2 linked regions of the Cricetulus griseus genome follow. Each later gene encodes a partner of the first gene's protein in a complex. Links are inferred from orthologs where the notes say so. Each region holds a gene or a part of one and is shown on either strand. Other genes may lie near its edges.

The links. The genes of interacting proteins can lie anywhere in the genome.
Region 2: the proteins of Irak2 (region 1) and Irak4 are in contact, whole or in part, in a crystal structure (PDB 3MOP), measured with the Homo sapiens proteins. The link is inferred for Cricetulus griseus from reciprocal best matches to the Homo sapiens genes IRAK2 and IRAK4. Residues at the interface, in NP_001561.3 of Homo sapiens: Tyr6, Ile36, Lys44, Met48, Glu59, Trp62, Trp63, Trp64, Gly65, Met66, Arg67, Gln68, Ala69, Gln73; in NP_001107654.1 of Homo sapiens: Asp24, Phe25, Pro28, Gln29, Lys34, Glu92, Phe93, Phe94, Ala95, Pro96, Ser98, Val105.

The regions. Positions count from the first base shown.
Region 1 is NC_048601.1:31,150,002-31,157,355, forward strand, and holds part of Irak2 (interleukin-1 receptor-associated kinase-like 2), read right to left. Parts: intron 2,378-7,354; coding exon 2,195-2,377; intron 1-2,194. UniProt on the Homo sapiens protein: Binds to the IL-1 type I receptor following IL-1 engagement, triggering intracellular signaling cascades leading to transcriptional up-regulation and mRNA stabilization.
Region 2 is NC_048595.1:391,032,406-391,039,759, reverse strand, and holds part of Irak4 (interleukin-1 receptor-associated kinase 4), read right to left. Parts: intron 3,376-7,354; 5' UTR 3,369-3,375; coding exon 3,208-3,368; intron 1,097-3,207; coding exon 951-1,096; intron 1-950.

The sequences.
Region 1 (7,354 bases):
ACCTCAAATGGTAAAGATTTTTCCTAGATTAGTCAATGATCTCTGCCATCAGTGACCAGGGGATGTAGCAGGAGGCACAGCTTCTCAACCTCTGGGGCTTTTCCTCCGATGGTACACCACCGTCAATCTCAGGGTTTGCCTGGCCTGGCCAACTGCCTCCCCAAAGTGAACCTACAACAAACCCACTGTGACCACATATGAGCTGGCAGCTCCTCCTACTTCCGGGAACCCTCCCTCATGTAGGCCAGGTTAGCCCTGAACTCATTATGTGGCCAAAGCTGGCTTTGAATTCTTGCTCCTCCTACCTCTACCTTCCAAAGGATTGCGTTACAGATATTTGCCATCACACCAATTTCAACACTATCATTTCCCAGCATCTGTCACATTTCAGTTTTCTAGGAATACAGAGAAAATTGAGGTTACAATCGTCAGGGGCTGATCACATGATCAAATGAAATGCCTCTTGGTTCCAGTGATCACAAGGACCAAGGTTCCAAGAGTCCCAGAGAGGGCTCTGCTTGGCATCCAGGCTGGTGCCTTCACAAGACAATGGTGGGGTCTGTACTCTGAAAGTAGGGGAGTCTCCCAGGGCTGTAGCATGGGCCAAGCCTGGATTCACTCAGCTGTGTCTTGCCCCAGGCCTCCCAGGCTGGTCCTTGGGAATGGAGACAAGGAACAGTAGTCTGGCACAGCTCAGAACAGGACAGGATAGGTTCCAGCCAGTTCTAAAGCACTGTGAGTCAAGCAGACTACCCTGTCCAGTCTGAGGGAAGGTGGACATGGAAGGAGACTGGGCAGGGAAGGACAAACAGGACAAAGCCAGAGACTGGGGGAAGCTATGGCCAATAGGCAGGGGCTTGGTTTATGAGACGATTTCTGGGAATGCAGAAGCAAGCCTGGCTGGACTCTCTCCTGCTGCAACAGGCACCTCCTATTTAAGCTCCAAAGGGAAAATCATGGAGTGTGAAAACCCTGGGTTCCCACACACATTAGATCCCAGGGAGTTACCCAGCAGCTGAAAAGTAGACACAGTACCAGGGTGGCCCTAAAAGCCCGTATGCTGCAGCTCTGAGCCTGGTACACTCTAACTCCCATCCTTCTCTAAAAGAAGGCTTCTGGTCAGGTCATCCAGGCAAGTGCTACATCAGGGTCTCTGGCACAGAAGGCAACCATTCTGGTCCCCACACAGGTCAACTTCAAAGCCCAGGCTGGGACTTTCCAGGCCTCAGATGCTCCTTTTGTTTTTTGTAGTGTTGGTGTTGGAACTCAGGGCCTTGCACCTCTAGGCAAGTGCCCTACCCCAGAGCTACACCCCCAGCCCCAGCCTCATCTTTTCCTGGGCTCTCTGACCCGTGGCCATTTCTCTCCACTCCTGCAGTGTTTTCTCTTTGGCCTGGCCGTCCCTGGCCACAGTCTTACCAGGCTTCCCTACCCAATCACTTTTATCTCCTGATCTGTTTATTTTCCTTTCCTATTACTACTGGCTACCTGGCTCCCCAATATTTAATTTTTTTCAATTTATTTTTTTTTCTGAGTGTTTGTCTGGAGAGGCACAGCTGCTACAACACCCATGGGGAGGTCAGAGGACAACTTTTGGGGGTCCCTCCTTTCACTATGTGGGCCCCAGAGATCAAACCCAGGTCATGAAGCTTGGCAACAAATGCCCTTACCCACTGAGCCATCTTCTTGGCCTCCATTTTTTGGTTGGTGGTGGTGGTGGCTGGTTGGTTGGTTGCTTTTGGTTTTTTCTTTGAGACAGCATTTCTCTGTGTAGCCCTGGCTGTCTTAGAACTCATTCTGTAGACCAGGCTGACCTCAACTAATGAGATCCACCTGCCTCTGCCTCCCAAGTGCTGGGATTAAAAGTGTCTGCCACCATCACCAGCTCCAATATTTTTTTAATTATAAAAATAAAAAGTTTTAGGTCTCTGGCTAGTTAGCATGTCTCCTGATAAACCCAGTGCCACGAAGGGTACACAGCAGGCCTGCAGATAATATCTGATAAATAAATGACTTGGTGTGTGAATTTTAACCTGGGAAAAAGAAGGGTCCTAGGGCTAGAGTGTAGCTCAGTGGTAGAGAGCTCATCTCACCGAGTTGGTTCCACCCCTTGTACTGATAAAAGATGGACAAGGTCTTCAGACAGACACATTAGCCCTTGCTGAGACCCCCTTGGGAACAGATGGTTACTCACAGCTCTGGACAATCTGGGCTGCTCGGTAGAGTTCCAGGTGACACAGGAGGTCCACCAGCTGCTGGACAGTGGCCTGTCGCATGGCCCACCACCACAGCAGCTCCCGAGTGATGCTCACACCCTGTACCCTCTCCATGGATTTGATCTTCCTCAGCTGTGTCAGGTCTGTGATCACATAGGAGGCTGGAAGACAAGAGAGGACTTTGCTTAGAGCTAGAGCTGCTGCCTGCAAGGGAGAGGCCCTTCCTGCCACACTGCTCCTCCCGGGTGTCAGCATGGCTACTGCACCCAACAGGAGGAAGATCACAAGACAGGAGCCTGGGAGTCTTGAGTAGAGGCAGTGTCTCTGCTTGGGATGGTCTCTTCCCCAGAAAAAGCCTCAGTGGGGAGCAGAACTGTGCCCACTTCATCTAAACAGAAACCCCCTGAAGGCAGAGAGTTTCATCTCTCTCCAACAATGTCACATCCCCAAATGGAGACACTGCCTGGCTGAAGGGAGGGCAGCAAGGTAGGGAGGCCCTCAGCCTCAGGGACACCCTGCTCTTGGGGGACCCCAACAAATGTCCTCTGATGTTGTTCCCTGAGTACCTGGCTAAGTCTCAACTCTGGTGGGAAAAATCCATAGATCTGTGATGGATGAATGAACAAATGAACCCATGGTCACTGTCCTTATGGAACTGTCACAGGGACAAACACAGCCCATGGGGTTGGCACTTTGCTAACTGTGACACTCTGGGCAGAACTGCAAGGAGCTGTGTTGGCAATAGTGCAAAATTATGCATTCCTTTTTTTGTTTGTTTGTTTTTTGTTTTGTTTTGTTTTGTTTTCGAGACAGGGTTTCTCTGTGGCTTTGGAGGCTGTCCTGGAACTAGCTCTTGTAGACCAGGCTCGTCTCGAACTCACAGAGATCCACCTGCCTCTGCCTCCCGAGTGCTGGGATGCCACCAATGCCCGGCTATGCATTCCTTCTTTTACTTTTTGAAACAAGGTCTTACTGTATAGACCAGACAGGCCTCCAATGCAATAATCCTTCTACCCTTGTCTCCCATATGCTAGCATTACTGGCTTCCCTTTGCATTTGTTTGGTATAAAATAGACGGTTGTTGCAAGGTGTTGGTGGTGCTTGCCTGGTCTCCAGAGCGAGTGCCAGGATAGGCTCCAAAGCTACACAGAGAAACCCTGTCTCATGAAGAAAAAAAAAAAAAGACGGTTGTTGTCATGGAACTACACGGACAATCCCACCCTCCCTGGCCAAGTCCACTAGGCCAGTCTCTCTCATCCTTCACAAGGTGCTGGCTTAGGTAAGACCCTGTTCTTATTTGTTAATGTTGTAGTTCAAGCCTTCTCCCAATTAATCTAGGTTCCTCTTTTGTTACCATTTGCCAAGCTTGATGGTGAACACCTTTAATCCTAGCACTCTGGAGACAGATGCAAGAGAATTTCTGTGAGTTTGAGGCCAACCTGGCAAACATAGTGAGTTCCAAGCTAACTAGGACTACATAGTGAGATTCTGTATTAAATTCTTTTTCTAGAATTATTATTGTTATCACTGTTTTATTATCATGGTGCTGGACACTGAGCCTAGAGCCTCATTTCATATGACTCTACTCAGAGCTTTTCTCTCCAGCTCATAAAGTTTGTTAGTTTGGTTGGATGGATTTTGTTTGTTTTGCAGAACTTGGGTTTAAAATCAGAGTCTCATTCATGCTAAACCACAGATCTACATTCCCAGCCCTTAAAAGCTATTTTTCTTTTTCTTTTTTAAAATAGGGTCTCACTATGCAGAACAGGCTGGCCTCGAACTCACAGATCTGCCTTCCTCTGCCTCCCAAGTGCTAGGATTACAGGCATGAGCCACCATATCCAGCCCTGCCACTGAATTTATTGACATAAGGGACACATTTAAAACAAACAAGCAGGGCTTTGGTGGCACAAGTCTTTAGTCCCAGCACTAGGGAGGCAGAGGCAGGCAGATCTCGGTGAGTTCAAGGCCAGCCTGGTCTACAGAGTGAGTTTCAGGACAGCCTCAAAGCAATACAGAGAAACCATGTCTCGGGGGAAAAAAAAAAGAAGAAAGAAAAAAAATAAAACTAAAACAAACAAACATTGAGAATGATGTAGCCTGGGCAGGTATCGTGATGGAAGAGCACCTGCTAGCATGTGCAGGTGACCCCAGGCTCCATCCCCAGTACCGCAAAACAAAACAGAACAAAAAACGAGGAATTAAAAAAAAAAATCAAGCCTTAGTCAGGCAGTGGTGGCTGGTGTCTTTAATCCCAGCACTTGGGAGGCAGGAGGATTTCTGTGAGTTCGAGGCCAGTCTGGTCTACAAAGCAAGTTCTAGGACAGCCTGACTCAAAAAACAAAAATAAAACAAAAACCCCAAAGCAAATAACAGCAACAAAATCAAGCCTTGGTGCCAAGAGTTCAAAAATCCCAGAGTGGGGATTTATGTGAGCACAAAGTCAAGTGTCTGGGGGACTGTGGTGATACAATGTTTGCCTCCCACCAATGAGGCTCTGGGTTCAGCCCTAGCACCACAAAATAATTAATTAATTAATTAATTTAAAAAAGGCATTAAGTACTGTGCTGGAGACGGGATGAGCTTTAGAGAGAACAAAACTCCATGGAGATTTTCTGTTTGGATTATGGGCTGGGAGTGGGGGGAGCAGAGGACAGGAAGGCCAGAGACAAAGCTCAGAACTCCCTAGGACCATAGAAAACATCAGAGCCAAGATAAATACAATGGACCTTATACTGTCAGTCCCCTCTAGATAAATGAGGAAGGGGTGAGACATTCTCCTACAGAGAAAGCCTCCAGGAGAAGTGCCCTGTAGGAATGGAAAGTTCAGAGTTGCTGTTTTAGTCACTGGAAACTCCAAACCAGATTCCTAGCCAATGGGAAGTGATGCAACAGCCCAGAGTCCCCTTCCCACTGTTCTCAGGGGCAAAGAGGAAGGAGTGATGTCATGACAAAGCCAGCCCAGTGAGGGTGCTGTGGACTGGGGCTTGGCCCGCCAGAGCCTTGACCCTCCCTGAATTTCAATTTCCTCCCTGGAGAAATAGGAAGTGAACCTCAGGGTGCCTTCTAAAAGGGAGAGTTTAGTCTACACCCAGGATCGGGATGTGCAGAGAGTTGGGGGAGTTAGTCACTGCCAAGGTCCTCGATAGGCTATGGCTCTTATTAATCTGATCAAAGTTGTCCTTATCTTCCTACCTGGGAGACCCAAGGAAAACACTGGCTGCATTCTGGCAGCTCTTTTCCCACCCTTTCCCCACAAGTGTGAATGCTACAGATCTGGTGTTCCACAAAGGGCCCGGGGCTAATGGCTTGGTTACCAGCTTGGTACCTGGAGAGGTAGGAACTCTAAGGGATGAGATCCAGAGAGAGTATTCCAAGCACTCAGAGATGTGCTCTCAAGGGGCTATGGGAATCCAGCGCCTTCCATGAAGTGGCTTTGCCTGACCTTGAGCTCCACGTCATGAGGCATTGCCACAGGCAAAAGCAGAATCAAAAGACCATTCACTGAAATCTCTCAAGCTGTGAACCAACCCTTTCCTTTTTCTGAGGCAACTCCCTAGGGTGTTTTTTCACAGTGACTGAGTTGGTTGACACAACATGTGAGCAGCCCTGGCACTTCCTTGCTGTACATTTAGGAAAGGTCTCATCACCTCTCCCAGAGCCTCAGTTTTCTCATCAACCTCAGAGGAGGCTACAAGAACTAGATGAACTCTATACACTGGACACCTGGGATAACACTTGGCACTCGGTCATGGGGACATAAATGTGACATTGCTCTATTCTGATTGCCAAATCCTGGGAAAGCCTAACAGTCCTGCAGAGCAGAGGTAGCCCAGCCTCCTGAAACGTCCCTCTCCCAACTAGCCAAACTCCACTGTGTTCCCTCAGTCTTTTACAGATGAAAGGCTCAGAGACATACAGTCACTTGCCTGAAGTCACACAGCTAGGCAGTGCACAATGGCTTCTATGCACTGGAGAGCAAGGAGAGTGGTCCTACAAAGGGGCTCCTGTAGGAGTCCCTCTGTACACACCCTTACGGTAAATGAAACTATAAGAAGCCCATTTAGACAGGTTCAGGCAGACACTGCAACTCTCTTTCCCAGGAGCAAATGAGTCCAGTTGTGACTACTGAGAAACCATCCAGGGACAGCCTACCAACTGGGTTAGATCCCAGTGTGTGTTTTTGTGGCTGTGGGTTTTCTTTTTTCTTTTTCTTTTTTTTTTTTTTTAGTTTTTTATTTTTTATATATTTGAGTTACAAACAAGATTGAATTACATGACAATCCCAGTTCCCTTCTACCTCCCTTCCTCCCCTGGCTGTGGGTTTTCTAAATCACTTTTAGATCTTCCCACACCCCACACCCTCCCTCCCAGGACCACAGCTTAAGATCGCCTTTCTCTAGAATGACTCAGAAGTCAAGACTTAAGAGTAGAAGGACAATCATCCAAGCTCTCCCTCCTTTGGGACATGGAAAACCAGAGTCCTGATACCAGCTGGCAGCTGCATAGCCAGCTCTGGGCCCAGTGACCCTGACCCTCAAAGGGAGGCCCAGCCTTGGGCTCAGAGCAGCCTGGGGTGAGACGATGCCCCACCCATGCGTCATTCTGTGGGTTGGGTGCTGAGCACCTGCCCACTTGCCCAGCAATGTCCTTGCCTCCAAGGACACAGTGAAAGAGGTAGCTCAGTCCCCACTCACCGGGCAGATGTGTTACTGAGTGAGGCTGAGGCAGGGAGAGTGAGGTGAGGTATTGGAGCTGGAGGTGAGAGCCAGAGCTGGCAGGCCTGCTGAGTAATGTCCTTGATATCCGCAATCAGTGATGCCTTAGAGGACTGTGGGTAGGTAATTCGGTCATCTCCAGGACTTGCAAACTCAGAGCAGTTCTCGGAAAAGGGTGTGTAAATGGCCAACAAGCAAGAACCGAAAAGAGGGACAAGGCCAGACTTTGATAAGATAAATAGTAGCCCTCCTATATGGAGGGTGGGGTGTGAGCCAGGGCAGTCCCTCTGGAAAACAACTGGCGGTGTGTCCCTCTAACGTGCAGTACTCACCCCCGGGGCCTGTGTGTGTACACCCAAGGGAGATGTATCCACATCTCCCTTGCATGCATCCACAGGACATACTACACAAAATGTCCAC
Region 2 (7,354 bases), on another chromosome or scaffold:
TAGGAAATACTATACTTATTTAAGAATAGAGAACTAGTGGGCATGGTGGTGCCCACCTGTAATCCCGTTGAAGGTGGAGGCAAGAGAATCAAGTTCAACTTTGGCCTTGACTACATAGTAAATTCAAGGTCAGTTTGGGCTACCTGAGATTCTGTCTGATAAACAACTACACATACACAAACACACATACACACACACAAATGGCAGTGGGTGGGGAGGAAAGGACCAAAAACATTAGTCATTGAACTCAGTGCTATGGGTCCTATTAAGATGTGGTGCTGGGTGGTGGTCCCAGCCCTTGAGAGGGAGAGGCAGGCAGATCTCTGTGAGTTCGAGGACAGCCTGGTCTACAAAATGCATTCCAGGACAGCCAGCGCTACACAGAGAAACCATGTCTCAAAAAACCCAAACCCAAACCAACCAACCAACCAACCAAATAAAACACCACCCAAAGAAGGTGTGGCATGGAGTCCAGGAATCTACATGTTCAACAAGAACTCTAAGAGATTCTTTACACAGTAAAGGTCAAGATCCCCGAGTGCATCCAAGGGAGAAAAGGAGTGGGGCAAAGACAAGGGCAGAGCAACAGTAACACAGGGGAATGCAATGCAAGGAAGCCCTGATGAAAGTCCAGTCAAGGTGAAGCCGAATGGGGGTCTAGAGAGACATGGCTCAAAAGAATAAATTCTTGTAGGATGCATTCTTCATCCTTTAAATAAACCCTCCTGGCACAAAACGATCCGGTTTTGTGAGGTTTAGACTTCATCACTTTAGCAGCACAGTCCAGAGCATCTAGAGTGGTTAAAGGCTAAGGGAGAGCTCAAAGAATGAAGGGGACCCAAGTGTCAGGTGTGTTCATTCCATAGAAGAGTAAACAGAGAAATAAAACTTCGATTCCTGCCATTCATCACTTCAGACAGTGGCTGGCACTCTGGCCACACCCAGTTTACCTGGCAGCAGGAGAGTAGCAGGGGCGAAAAGCTCAATCTGGATCAGAAGATCCACAAGGTCACCAACTGTGCAGTTTGTGGTGCCCCAGTCGAACAGCAGCTCACACGTGGGGCTTTTCCCAGTTTGGAGTAAGGCTTCAAATCTCCTGAAAAACAAAAGACAAAACTAGTACACAATGAGAGTTCATCTGAAGATAGACACTGATCTTGTCACCACTCCCGAGTCCCCTCCTGTCCGGATCACTGACCCTCCGGAAGACAGTAAAGGAACCGGAGTATGAGAGAACCAGAAGTACCCCATCTAGGAGAATGACACTCAGCAGAAAAGGAGCCAGAGAATTCAGGTTAACAACTGAGGCTGGAGGGATGCTCAGTGGTTGAGAAAACTGTTGCCCTTACAGAGGACCAGGGTTTGCTTCCCAGGGCATCCTCAGGGCAGCTCCCAACTACCTGCATTTCCAGTTCCAGGGGATATAAAACCATCTTCTGCCCTCCACAGGTATGGGTATGCATGTGGTGCAAATACATACATGTAGACAAAGCAATGCATACACATGGAATAAAATAAAGAGCTAAAAAATTGTAAGCTAACTTTTGGGGTGGGGAGATATCCCAGTTGGTAAAGTGCTTGTCGTTGCCAGTATGAAGGCTAAGGACCCGAGTTCAGATTCCCCAGCATCCAGGCGAAGAACAGCCAGTGCAGAGCGCCTTCTCTAATATTGGGCTGCACAGGCAGTGATGGCTGTATTCCTGATGCCCACTGGTTAGTTAGTCTAGATGAATTTGTAAGTTCCAGTCTCTGTGAGATACCGTGTCTCAAAAAACAAGATGGATCGAGAGTGAGCAAGGCACCCCATGCTGACCTCTGACCGCCACAAACATGGACACTTATCATACACGCACAGTTAACACAAACACACAAACACATATACAAGTCAAACCCACCTCAGAGAGCTACAGGATATCGCTAGAGAGACAGCTGAGAATGTTACCATGAGAGTGCTAGACTGGGATGGGTGGAGTAGCCAGTTGTGAGCCACACAGCACACTCAAAATGTTACCCAGGTTTAGATCCAAATTCTGAACTCTCTCGAACAAAGCATACACTTTTAAACCACTTAGCTATATTGCAGTGTCTTACATGCACTTTACATGACTTAGTCAGTCTTCTAGCTGTAGACTTTAAAATGAACAAGCCTGCCTCATGAAGCAGAATGTGCCTACACTTTGATCTCAACTTTATTTAATTAAATAGAACGGAAAACATCTTTATTTTTCATCTCATTTCTTTAAAATTAAAAATTAGAAAGTAACACTGTAAACTTAACACAAACAGCTTATTCTGATTTTTCCTCCCAGGGTTATATTTGGAAAAATTTCAAACTTAACAAAAACTTTGAAAGAATAACACAGTGAGCAACAACTTGCCCTCCATCTAGATTTACCAATTGGTCAGCTGGTAGCCTTGGCTATGCAAGACCCTGTCACTAGCAACAGTTGGTTTTCTCTTTCTTAATGCATACAAAATTTGTGGACAAAACGTTTATGTTTGAGCCCCATGAGGCTCATGGGAAGCAGTCGTCCCTGGTGGCTATACATGGCTAACATAAATTCTACTATTCTGCCAATGCCTGTGGCACTGTTCAGTATGGAAGAACCCTTTCTCTCTAGAACGACTGCTGTGACAACCTTGCATTTTTAATGGAAATATCAACAAACTATCTTTGAAAATCTGGTTTTCAAGTTTGAAAGCTGAGCTTCTCCCTTGTACCTTAAAATGTTTGCCTTCATGTGAGCGTACACTTGCAGGAAGGACAATCTGAGAGCCCAGCCTTTAGAGTCTTTATCACATTTATTTAAAAAAACAAAACAAAACAATAATTTATTTTTCTTTTTATGTAAGACAAACTTTTGACATTAAGTTTTAACTGCAAAATATAGCACAAAATTAAATCTGAGGCCGGGTGGTGGTGGTACATGCCTAGATCCTAGCACTTGGGAGGTAGGGGAAGGCGGATCTATGCACATTCAAGGCCAGCCTGGTCCACACAGTGAGTGCCAGGACAGGCTCCAAAGCTACACAGAGAAACCCTGTCTTGACAAACAACAACAACAACAACAAATTTTAATCTGAATTTGTATTTTCTACTAAATCAAGCAGAGATGAGAAGAGACAGTTATGTTAGACAGTGTTTATGCCTGAATCCTTTTTTTGTGATGGGAAGGATTTAAAAAGAAAAAATAAACACCATATTACCTTATATGAAATTGATTGTACCTATCATCACCAGACGGCTTTTTAATAGCTACTGCTAATTTCTTCCATCCTTCTTGAGGATCAATAAAATCAGACAGCTTCCTAATGAGTCCAACATTGAGGCTCCGTACGTATGTGGATGGTGTCAGAGGCTTGTTCATCTTCTACCTGAAATATGAAAAATTCTCATTGAAACTTTACAATAGGTCAGCTGGGCAGTGGTGGTGCAAAACTTTACTCCCAGTACTTGGGAGGCAGAGGCAGGTGGATCTCTGAGTTTAAGATCAGCCTGGTCTACAGAGCAAGTTCCAGGATAGTCAGGGATATACAGAGAAACTCTGTCTCGAAAACTGAACAAATAAATAAGTAAAAATAAAAAAAACAACAAAAACCAAAACAAACAAAAAATGTAAAGACCCCACAACTTTACAACAGTTTCAGAGCCAGCATCTAGAAGCTGCATGTCATGCATTGGTAAGATGCATGAGATGCTACAACTGACCATCTGAACACAGCAACTCTCGCTCCAACCCACCTCTGATTGAAAGGTGTCTAATCACCCTCTAGGATTATTCTCCCAGCAAACCCCCACAAACCAACATTGGAAAACTTCATTCTGACACTGGAATTTTCCACGTGAAATTTATAAAAAGCAAGATGTTTATTGGAGAGAGACCTGGGAGCATGTTTAGGAATCAAATCTATGAAATGAATAGAAGAGACTTATCTTCTAATTTAAAGTATTTTTCCCAATCAGTACCCATTTACTGTTACATTTAAAAAATGATTTATTCATTTTATTTTATGTATATGAGTATTTTGCCTGCATGTATGTATGTGCTCCATGTGCCGGTCTGGTGCCCCCAGATGTCAGTAAAAGGTACCAGATGGTCTGGAACTAGAGTTCTTGATGACTATGAACCACCATATGGATGCTGGGAGCTGAACCTGGGTCCTCCGCAGCAAGGGCTCTTAAGCATTGAGCCATCCCTCCAGCATCTCCTGTTAACATTTTTTATGCAACCTCTTTGATAACAAACAACAACAAAAAACCCTAATTTATATAGCATTAAAGGCATACCCATCCACCTACTTTTCATGTCTCACACAAAGAACCTCGAACAGTTTTGAGCCTGAGGTCGGCACAACTGTTTTCTGCACAGTGGAATCCATGGCCACCTCTGTGGCTCCTCTCATGATAGGGCCTTTATTTGATCAACCCTCCTGTTTCCTAGTATTCCACCTTGGAGGTTGCAGCCAAGAGACACCTCCCAGTGTTCCTTGTACACAGAGCTGCTGAGCTCAGTCGTAGACTACTGGATAGACTGATGAGAACCGCCTTTCCATTGGGCCTCCAGCATGCACTTAACCTTTTTCTTTTCTCTCCATGTCTTTTGGGGCCATTTCCTACTTTTACCTCTCTCTGTGCTTTCTCTGTCCCTCATTCTCAACAGACAATAATCCTTCCTTCTTTCTTTCCTTCCTTCCTTCCTTCCTTCCTTCCTTCCTTCCTTCCTTCCTGTTAATCAAGAGAAACAGACTCCTATCTCAAGGATTTTTCTGTATGTGTTCATTTTTTAAATACAGTTAATCTTGGGAGTAAATCATATATTCAAATGGTGCAAAATATAAAAGCTATAAAACAGTAAAAAATACATTTGTCTGTATATAAGTGTCTATGCTAGCATTCATGTCTCTCTGGCCTTCAATGTCTATCATATGTACATAAGTTGATTTTTTTCCCATACCTAATTATAATTCACCCCTGCATAATTAATTTATAATTAGTTGCTTGTTTACCACCTGTCTCTGCCATTAGACTGTCAGCTTCATGAGTTAAGGACCAAACTCATTCTATTCATTAATGCAACTTATACATTATAGATACTGATATTGGACAGTATGGTTTGGATTTGAAATAGCTCCCATAAGCTCTTGTTTTAAAGGCTTTGTTCCTAACATAGTAGTGTTCTGTGTTGGGGGTGCATTTGGCAGGTGTTAGGATCATGAAGTCTCTCCTATTATCTATCAATATATTCATCCATTGATGGATTCATAGCCTAATGAGATATTGGGAACTGGTGGTAACTTTAGGAGGTAGGACCTACCTCAATGAAAAGGCTCACTGGCTATGTTCCTCTTGATGGGCCTGGACTCTGTTCCCCTTGCTATTTCTTTTCTTTCCTTCCTCCTTCTCTCTGCCCTTTCCCACACCATAAGTAGGCAGATTTGTCCCACTATGTGCTCTCTGTCATGAAGTTCCCCCTCATCACAGACCTAGAAACAACTGATCACTTAACCTTAGCAAACAAAACTTAGGTTAATCTTGATCTAAAAATTTTTCTTCTTTAACTTTGCCTCTTAATAGTCCCACAAGGTTGTTATGGAATAATCTTTGTGTACACTGTGAAGATGTGTCTTTGCCAGGGCACCTTCTGATTGGCATAATAAAAGGCTAAATGGACAATAGCTAGGCAGGAAGAAGTTAGGTGAGAGAGCCAGAGAGGACACTGGGAAGAAGAAAGGAGAAGTGATGAGGAGTCGCCAGCAAGACGCAGAGGAAGCAGGAGATGAACATGTCGTGTTGAGAAAAGGTGCCACCATGTGGCATAAGAAATATGGGTTAAGATGTAAGATCTAGTTAGCAACAAGCCTAAGCTATCAGCTGAGCATTTATAATAAATCTCTGTGTGGTTATTTGGGAGCTGGTTGGTGGGACACAGCTGCCTGGTGGGATAGAAAAACTCTCCCTACACAAGGTTGTACAGTTATTACCTCCCAACTTACGTTTTGAATGTTTCCCATCTGTCATGTTTTATTGTGGCTCCTTGAATGGATCCTCCTCTGAGACTCCCTAACTGTGATCCCATAACATCATTCATTTTTGTCAGCTTGAAGCCATTGAAATCAGTGCCCCTAAGTCCCCCTCCCCCTGCAGAGCAGTTTGGGTGACCTCCGAGGGGGGAACTAATAAGCCATCTTATCCCTCTTTTTGCCACCCTGGGCGTTGTTTCCAGGACTCAGAACTAAAACAGCTGGACTGAAGCCCCTTTTGCATCAATTAACTTCTCTGTCTCACCAGATACCAGAGACACTTACAGCATTTTCAGATCAGCTTAACATCCTTCAGGACCAGCTCAACTCCTTAGCTACTGCAGTACTTCAACATTTAAAAAGACTAGATCTGACTGCTAAGGATGAAATTTGTGCCCTCCCCTATGAGCAAAGCTGCTTAGGCACAAGAGAATCCTAAGTGATTTGTGATGGGGTCCAAAGACACTGAATTCAGACAAAAACCCAACTGCAAGTCTCCTCCTGTATAAAGGCATTTGGTTCCCTCCCACTCTGGCTCCTCCCCTCCATCACTCCTTTCCTCCTTCTTATCCTCAAACTCACATTTTTTGCCCCATCTTTTGAATGTTCTACTTACTGAACGTTCCCCTATACCCAAACAAAAATGTTCCACATCAGCTCTTCCAGTGACTCTCATCCTACAACAGCTCCATTTGTGTCCCTGATACATCTGCAAAAAGACCTTTTAGATGCCACGGGCAACACCCATGTTTCCTATTCAGATTTACTTCAGTGGCAACTTAAAATGCTTTGAATATACTGTCATCCATTCACCAAAAAAGTGTCCTATTTGTCATTGATATTGACATTAATCCAGAAAAATAGAGAGAAAAGGGAGACAAGAACACAAGGAAGTTTTATTCTAATGGAGGAAGAAGGTAGCAAGCTAAGAATGCATTTTACCTATGTTAAATGGTATCTGTGATGATTTGAAGGAAAAGGCCCTCCTAAGTCTCCCCCATTTGAATACTTGGTTCCCATTTGGTGGTTGTTTGGGAGGATGAGGAAGTGTTACTGGAAGTGTGTTACTGGCTTTGAGGTTTCAAGACTTGGGATGTTCCCAGGCAGCTCTGCTTCCTGCTTGTGGGTCAAGAGGTGAACTCTGAGCTGGTGCTGCATCTCATTTGTTTTGTCTGCTTGGTGTAGGCTCTTGTCCCTCTAGAATCCTACACTCAGCCTTGCCTTGGTCATAGTGTTTTTTTTTTTTTCCTTCACAGTAACAGAGAGGTAAATAAGACAGTGGCAGATTGAGAGACAAGGGGCTGCAACTTTAAAGGGGTTAGTCGCTATGGGC